Yarrowia lipolytica: one gene and its partners. The protein of the gene in region 1 purifies or fractionates together with the protein of each later gene. This does not show direct contact. Links are inferred from orthologs where the notes say so. Each region holds a gene or a part of one and is shown in the gene's direction. Other genes may lie near its edges. The genes, in order: YALI1_F35907g, YALI1_B23061g and YALI1_E19082g.

Region 1 (3,765 bases):
GTAGTGGATGCTTGAATCGTCATAGTCGTCGCCGAAGTCGTAATAACTAACCACCTGTATCACAAATAGGTATCACAGCGGATATCATATAATATCTCCCTCTGTGGTGTTGTCTCTTCCATGGAAAAAGTCGTTTGTTGAAGTGCAGTGGTGAACAGATGTCGAACAATCTACTTTCGATGTCCAGGTTCAATGTTGGCGATGTGGACATTTGCGCCGCGGGGGCTCGTCCTCAGTGGGTTTCAGTCGTATTCCCAGCCGTTTCTCTTTTCCATCAATTCCCTAGCATCGACACACTGAAATATTGGTCTACTGCCCGGATTATATATATTTAAACTTGCGTGATACTTTCGGAACTAGAGATGCCGTGGATATGTCGGCTAGGGTCGACCCGGTCGATACCCGGATGGGGGGTTTGCGGAGGGCTGTAGGAGGGACTTTGAGACATAATTTGACCGGACAAAGCAATGGATCAATATTACTGTGTCCAATTTGTAGATTTGTGTGGTTTTAATTTCGAAAATAACTCTCGTACTTGTAATAGCCCTACCCCTCCTATTATTCCGCTTCCTTACCGTTAGCCTTGAGAACCTTGTTAAGTATATGAAATGCAGTGTGCGATACAGAATGTGTATATGAATTATGGTGGTGAGTTAGTACAAGATGACAATTGTCGTACAGGTACTTGTATGGGTACTTGTAGGTACGAATATTGAATGAGTTGTGTATAAAAGGGGTTTTGAATCTCACCTCGTTCTCATTATACAAGTCCAAGTACAGTACTTGTACTTATCTCGTGTCTGTTAATTGTTTGAGTGGGTCGTCTTAAACTCCTTAAACTGACTTCGTATGCTGTGAAGCCACGGTGGGGTGTGCACCCTGCAAGCGTAAGAACGGTCAATATTCTGAGCTGATAACATGTGATCTCTATCACACTATGTGTACAAGTACTCTACAAAGTACATGTACTGTACCGACACAAGAAGATGAGCTCATACTCACCCGTCCCTCTCAATGTGCACCCCCACACGCTGCACACACAGCGACAACACCAGAATTTCAAGTACAAGTACATGGCGTCGAAGGTGTTAATTTATCCCCTATTCGAGTCCCCGCAATAACTACCATGGGTGTACCTTCATATGAGAAAAAAATATCGCCTAAGCGTTCATATTATGACGGCTACTGATGCTCATGTGGGGGGAATACTAAGTTCACGGGTCATACATACCTCTCCTAAAAATTTGTACACATCCACACACAAGGTTTTGACGCGTGCATGATTTCGTTAATGGAAAAAACGCGTCAGGGCAGCACGAAGCTACACAACACTCAGCACACTACAACATACGAGCTACACCACCATGCCAGCAGTCCTCCCGATAAAGCTGAATCCATCGCAAATGCGGCCCGTGGCGTACCGGATCTTCTCCAAGAAGCACGGCCTCAACTTGAAATCAACAGGTCTCGAAACACTCACCGAAATCATAGGCAAAAACTACGGAACCGAATGGCGAGGGGCCGAGGCTGCCAAAATGATGGAGGAGATTTGTCGACTGTGGAAGGAGCAGGAGATGGGTGTTTTTGTGGAGGGCAAGCCGCTGCAGGAACTGTTCGATGAGATCACAGCCAGCAAGAAGGCCAAGGAAAAGGCACGAGTCCAGGTGGTTTCCAAGAGCGTGGGATTGACTGGAGTGGAGGAAATCGAGGATCGGGAAGGAGAGCCACAGGTGAACGTCATCAGAGAAGCAGCTCCTTCTGTGGACGTTGTGTGGAAGGAGTTCTTCAAGGTGATTAGTGCTTTTGATCAGCCTCTTTTCCATTATAATGCCCGCCAGCAACGGTTTGAGAAGCGGAAAACAAAACCCACATTGTTCGCCAATGCCCAATCTGCCTCTAACATGTTTCTGACTCGTTACCATCTGGTCTACAACCGTCTATTGCGCAATGACGACACCACAGACCTGAAAATCACATCGATCCGATCTCTTATTGGTCGACAGGGCGAGTTTTCCATCTTCGGAATGCTTTCCAAGAATCCGGAGCAGAAGATTTGTTTGCAGGACGACACTGGTCGTATTCTGCTGATCCTAGCAGCTGGTTGCAAGCCTGATCCAGGAGTATACTATCCTGAAGGCTCCTTTGTCATCTGTAACGGTCGATACATGAAGTCAGGAGACGCCGAAGTGTTTGTGGTCATCACCATGGGCCCTCCTGTGGCCGAGAAACGACAGGAGACCATCACAGCATACGGAAACATGGACTATCTGGGACTGCATGGAAACCCCCATGGTTCTGTGGTGAGACGAATTGAACGGCAGGTGGAAGCATCAATGCTTGCCGAAGAGAAACGCTTGGTAGATCAGAAAGTGATTGTGTTTGGTGGAGATATGTATTTGGACAATCCTTTGACTCTCAAGGCTCTACAGAAAGTGTTTTCGACCATTGAGCTTGAGTTTCAGGACTCTGGAACCAAGAAGCCTCTAGCCATGGTGTTCTCAGGAGACTTCACTAGTCAGTACCAGCCACCGCATTTGTACAAAAAGGGGTTCGACAAGTTGGAGGAGCTTTTCAAGGAGTTCAGCAGCATTATCACTGGTGTCAAGATTATTTTTGTTCCTGGCCAACGGGATCCTTGGACTAACACTTTCCCGACACAGAATGCAGTTGTTCCTCTGCAACCTCTTCCAACCACCATGATTAACAGAGTCGCCAGACTATGTGGAGAGGATGTTTCAATGAGCTCCAACCCCTGTAGAATGGCTTATCTTACACAGGATATGGTCTTCTACCGAGATGGACTCAGTGAGCGTCTGCGAAAGTGCAACCTTCAACTTGATTCTGCCAAGGACGATTCGGACGATTCGGATGATGACATTGAGATTGACAACGATGAAGTAATGATCAACGACGTTGTAGTCAACGAGCCCGAATCGTCCTTCGACTTTGGAGAGGGGCTCAGCAACCTCACTCGACCAGTGGATATCAGCACTCCTATGGCCAGCCAAGTGGGTCCTACCAACACTCTTTCAGCCAAGGAGGTGGAGTCTCGCAAGATTGTGCGAACCATTTGTGATCAGGGTCACTTGTCTCCCTTCAACAGACACGACAGACCTGTTGCCTGGGACTACGACGAAACTCTATGGCTCAGTCCACTGCCTACGATCCTGTTTATGGTTGACACACATGCTCCGAAGTTCTCTCTCAGGTACGAGGAGTGTATGGTGGTCAACCCTGGCCCCTTCCTGAACAGAAAGATCGCCAGCTGGGTTGAGTATGATCCTTCCAAGAAGACAGTCAAGGAGCGACAGTTGCATATTTAGACAGTAATTCATGACCCAATATTAGAAAAATGAGCCTTTGTTGCGTTTGAAGCGATATTATTGCCTTATCATACGCAGTCTTATGATTATTATTAGTAATCAAATGAAGAATGGAGACTAAAAAAGCCCGACGTGGGGCTTGAACCCACAGCCTTGAGATGACACCTAAGAATAAGAGTCTCACGCTCTACCGATTGAGCTAGCCAGGCATGTTTAACGATATTGAAAAAAGAAAATTGGACGTAGAATACCGTACATTTGATTAGTCAGCTGATTAGAATAAAAAAATTGAGTAATGAATCATCAGAATAAAAAAAAATTGAGCTGTAATGAATCATTAGTTAAAAAAAATATAAAAAAGAAAAAACGAGAAAAGAAAAATGGATCATTAGGATAAACAAAAAGTGTGTAATACATCCAAAGATTAAAAATAAAAAATAAA
Region 2 (2,453 bases), on another chromosome or scaffold:
CCTCATCCTGTGTCCCAGAGTCTGGTCTGGACGCGTCTGCTGCTGTTTCGTCGCTGTCGAGATCAATATCGTCATCAATGGGGTCGGTCTGGACCCCCTTTGAGTAGCAGAGTGGCGGTGATGTTGTCCGAGTTGTAATCGCAGCGGCTGTAGAAGTTGAAGCTGACGCTGATGCTGTGTTGGAAGTGGCTGATGTATCAGGACCCTGAACCACAGGAACTTGATCAAAGGCATCAGCAATGACTATGGAAAAAGATCCTGGGGTGTCGTCAATTCGAGTAGTCACCAATGAGTCTACCAGCTGGTCGATATCCTCTTTAGAGGGTGCTGCTCTTTGTGCCTGTGTTAGTAGGTTCCCCCTGGCTGTGTTTGTGTGTTTGTTGAGACTCACCTCCTGCTGTTGAAGAGCTTCTCTGGCCTTTCGCATCTCTGCGATTCTGGCCCTTTTGGCCTCGATCTCGCTGCGTCTGCTCGAGCTCATTTCCAGGCTATTTGTGAGCGTTTGCAAGCACTAGTGTGTGTGATGTTAGCTGTTCGTGTTCGTGTTCGTGTAGCGGTGTGCAGTGAATAAAGGGTGCAGTTGTGATGCACTGCAACAGTCAAGTGGATTTAGAATATCTAGTGAGGATGTCTTAACAAAATAGACGTTGGGGTGGCACGGGTTTGTGAGGCTACGTAGGAGAATTGGGAATATAAATTACAACTGAAGAAACGAAACAGCGTTCACGTCACATCATCAACGAGAAGTATTTCGGAAAAATCTTTTTGGGGAGATCCAGAATAACAGCGTAGCAGAGCTACCTTAGTTTAGATGTTGTAAAAATACCCGCCATTTAGCCGCCGTGTGAGAACCTTAGTGTAACCATCACCTTGGGCGTTTGAGACCTTAGTAATATAATTTTTAGCAATTTCTTGAGCTTTACACGAAACCAAGGTACATATATATAGCTACGATTGATGTACCAGGTAGCTACCGGCTACTGGGTACTTCCACAGCGATTCCTGCTTAGACACGCACATCAGGACCTGCACGACGCGTCAACTTAATTAGAGCACATCAAAAATTCGTCACGCACACAACACAACGATATCAAAAATGGAGGAGGACAACTTGGACTTGGAAGGCATGGACATTCACAGCGGGCTCGACTCGTCGTTCCACTCACCGCCGCACACATCTGATCCAGCGGGTCTGAGCATGGATGAAACGGACGATATTGATGATCTGATCAACAACGTGCGACCACACGACCCACTAGGTACTTTGGAAGAGAAGGAGGCTGATATCAAAGAGTTGACACATTCATGGGTGACTGAGCGAATGTCACCAACGCTTCTTCCGACGAAGGAGGCGCTGTTGTTCCGGATTCTCAAACGTGTGCAGCTTCAGATCGAGGTGATTGAGGAGAAGTCGATAGACATGAGTCCGGACACAGACGTGAAGCTGGAACTGCTGATTGTGGAGACGGAGCTGGAGCGTATCAAGTACCTGATCCGGTCGTATCTGCGCGTGCGACTGCTTAAGATCGATAACAGCATGGAGTACTACCAGTCTTCCCCCTTGGACAGAATGAACATGTCTCAAACAGAGAGAATGTATCTCAACCGGCACTATGCGCTGTTGAAGAATCTGTACGCGCATCAGTTTATGAACACGTTCCCAGACAGTCTCAAACAGATGAACGACTCTTCAGGAAGTGCAAGCATGGTTCAGGAGCCCAACATGGACCATCCAGTGTTTGTGCGAGTAGTCAAGGATACAGGACGAAAGATTATCATTGGAAACGATTCAGTCAAGCTGCGAAAGGGTAGTATCGTCGTCATCAAGTACTCCATCATCGTGAAGTATGTTGAGAGTGGTGATGTTGTTTTCATTTGATGAGAGAAGGAAAATGAGGTGAAACAACTCGACGGGGGAGTTCATGGAACTAATGCTGAGACACGCAAGCTGTGGGCTGTTAGTTATTTTGTGAAGTTGACGCTCGCATGCTACGTTATTGACACCCGTACATACCGACGATTGTGTGTCAAGAGCTCAAGCAGCTAAAATATGACAATCGCCCACTTGCCTTGTCTGTATCATCAGTTACTCGACGAAGCCTTAAAAAGCAAGACACTTCAACGTGGTCGAGACGTTTAGCATGTATCTAACTCACCATGGAGACCCTGCGCGGGCGACCTGGAAGCTGTACATACAGATGCTTACCATAAATAGAGACATCTAATTGTAAAATGCATATCATCATTAACCCTTAGTGCTTCCAGGTAACGGTATTGGTCGCATTGGACTTGGTCTTGGGCAAATTGCGCCTTAGTTACCACTTAACCCAAGTAAAATACCATGCATCACAGAATCTCACCTATAAAGACAAGACTATCAAACCAAAGGTCATTATTTCGTTTATTTTACGAAGTGCTGTAACCTATCATTATCCATAATATTACTTGGCATT
Region 3 (2,352 bases), on another chromosome or scaffold:
TCCCGGAAACTAGCAATCTAATGACTAATGACTCATGACTCAAACCATCCCGGCTGGTGCGCAGACATCCGGCTGGTGCGCAGACATCCGGCTGGTGCGCAGACATCCGAGAGCTCTATCGCTACAAGTACTTGCTTTGCTCTCACTAAATGTCTCACACTCTATCTTCGTCGGCCAGCATGTGAAGGCATCAAATCGGAGGTGGGGTGTCAGAGGATTACAGACGGTGTCAGAGGACTACAGACAATTGTTATCGTTCACTTGGTGGTTCAGATGACGATTCGACCCCTGCCAGACACGAGTATTTGTAATAGCTTTCCACGGGATTCCCTTACCGACGACCATCAAGTCCATGCCGTTGATGAAAATGTTCATGATCAGATCGAAACACATGCTCGTGACGCGGTAAAAGAATATCTATGACATGCCGTCTTGTGCGCACCACCCCGAGATGGAAGAGGTACTGTAGAGCCGATGATCGGCATCCTTTCAGACCAGGAGAACTGCTATGAGTACCTGAGCATAAGTGAATGGACCTGACACGAGTCTGGGGAACGCTGGTGTTTGAGGTCCTAAATACCGAAGCAAGGGCGCCTTCAGAACGGTCGTATTCTCGACATTTGCCCCCAAGGGGTCTCCAAGAATACGGGTTGTGACTTCATAGACATTTGGAATAGAGCTACCAGAAGCTATCTCTTCATAAAAACATCAAAACTTGCATGACCATTTGCCACCAAAAACCGTCACTATCCCATGACACGCCGAGTATTCGTGGTCGTATCTCCAATTTAATTCTCTCGGTAATATTATACGCCTCGTAATCGAACCCACAATCTTTCATCATGCATCATATATGCAGGATAATTTCAACGGAAACGCGTGAAGTGATTAGATTAGCCATCGTCGCACACCAACCAGCAAGAAGAAGAAAAAATGTCGGTGCCAGCGGAACAGCTGGAGACCTTCCTGCCGTCGGAGCTGCATTTCATGGCGGAGAATGAGACCATCGAGATCCTGCCGCGACGAGTCGGCAACCCCATCAAGCTGGCAGGCACAGATCTGCCTCTCATGCATCCTCTTCGAAAGAACAGAGTCCCCATCTGGATGGCCATCGCGCTCAAGAAACAGCAGCGGTGTCAGTTCGTGCCCCCGGACTGGATGGAGGAAAGCAATTTGCGGCGGATCTTGGCTTTTGAGCATGCCAACCCCACCGCGTTCTCCAACGTGGATTTCCACTGGCTGGAAATCGCCCAGATTGTGCTCACCACCGCTCCAGACGACCTCACCTCGCCGCCACAGGTGATCCGAAACCTCGTGCGAGATATCCGAGAGGTGCGGGAGCAAAAAAGTCGACAGGGTATGAAGGAGGTCAACGAAAACATGCTGCAGATGGACCGACTGGGGGCTCTGGAGATCAACGAAATGAGACCGTTTGTGGTAGAAGGCATGGAGGAAATGATCAAGATCCGCAAGGCCGGCAAGAAGGAGGAGCCCATAATCTATTCGGAAAGTGACAACCCCGAGGACGACGAGGATGATGAGCCTACTTATGGACATGACGACGAGTCTTCGTTGGCTGTGCCTTCATCTCAACTGGACTCTTCGTTGCGATATGGAGACCGAGTGGACACTTCGGAAAGAAGACGAGAGTTGTCTCAGTGGGATGATAATGTGCCGCAACAAGGCGGCCCCGAATGGTGATGTTTCTCAGATACAAGAACACATCTTCCAACATGTACACTAATGAATATATTTATTGTAATCGAAACCGACCAAATTGAAGTATTGAGGGGCAAGCCACGACTAATGATAAGCTACGTACTGTACATGTTGTTACAAGTACAGGGTACGAGTATGTACTGTATCGTACAAGAATTTACGGAACCTTGTAGGTTTGGAGACTGCAATGACTTAGCATGCATTGAATCTACCAGCACCCACAATATCATCAGAAGAAATGGAATTGGCGTTACTTGGTGGTGGTTGCTGGTTGTTCTTGTCGCTCTTGCTCTTGTGGCACAACTAAACATCAACTTCGGTAACCTTGACCTCCTTGAAGGTGACGAGCAGAAGGGCAATCTCCTGGTTCTCAATGAACTGCTTGGCGTCGGGGTTGGCCTTCTCGTGTTTAGCAAGGTACTTTTGGGCCTCGGCCAGGTCCTCCACCACTCGTGCGGAGCCATTGAGAGTCACACTCATGGAGCTGATCTCGTTCTGGTTGATGTTCTGAAGCAGCTCCAGCAGCGACGGCTCCTGGCCCCCCACCACACGAGATCGGGCCGTGACCCAGTCGTGCACAAGCACAGACACTAATGGGTTTTGCGATAGATTGACATATGTGGTGGAGGACTT

What was found.
Region 2: the proteins of YALI1_F35907g (region 1) and YALI1_B23061g purify together in Saccharomyces cerevisiae (affinity purification with western blotting; 3 studies listed by BioGRID, with this or other methods). This does not show direct contact. The link is inferred for Yarrowia lipolytica from reciprocal best matches to the Saccharomyces cerevisiae genes DPB2 and SLD5.
Region 3: the proteins of YALI1_F35907g (region 1) and YALI1_E19082g purify together in Saccharomyces cerevisiae (affinity purification with western blotting; 3 studies listed by BioGRID). This does not show direct contact. The link is inferred for Yarrowia lipolytica from reciprocal best matches to the Saccharomyces cerevisiae genes DPB2 and PSF2.

The regions. Positions count from the first base shown.
Region 1 is NC_090775.1:3,589,403-3,593,167, forward strand, and holds YALI1_F35907g (uncharacterized protein), read left to right. Parts: upstream 1-1,364; coding exon 1,365-3,323; downstream 3,324-3,765. Other genes in the region: YALI1_F35894g (uncharacterized protein), read right to left, coding at 1-10, 55-211. UniProt on the Saccharomyces cerevisiae protein: As accessory component of the DNA polymerase epsilon complex participates in chromosomal DNA replication.
Region 2 is NC_090771.1:2,305,023-2,307,475, forward strand, and holds YALI1_B23061g (uncharacterized protein), read left to right. Parts: upstream 1-1,096; coding exon 1,097-1,879; downstream 1,880-2,453. Other genes in the region: YALI1_B23055g (uncharacterized protein), read right to left, coding at 1-481. UniProt on the Saccharomyces cerevisiae protein: Required for DNA replication. Functions as part of the GINS complex which plays an essential role in the initiation of DNA replication by binding to DNA replication origins and facilitating the assembly of the DNA replication machinery.
Region 3 is NC_090774.1:1,907,276-1,909,627, forward strand, and holds YALI1_E19082g (uncharacterized protein), read left to right. Parts: upstream 1-933; coding exon 934-1,701; downstream 1,702-2,352. Other genes in the region: YALI1_E19070g (uncharacterized protein), read left to right, coding at 1-13; YALI1_E19098g (uncharacterized protein), read right to left, coding at 2,023-2,352. UniProt on the Saccharomyces cerevisiae protein: Functions as part of the GINS complex which plays an essential role in the initiation of DNA replication by binding to DNA replication origins and facilitating the assembly of the DNA replication machinery.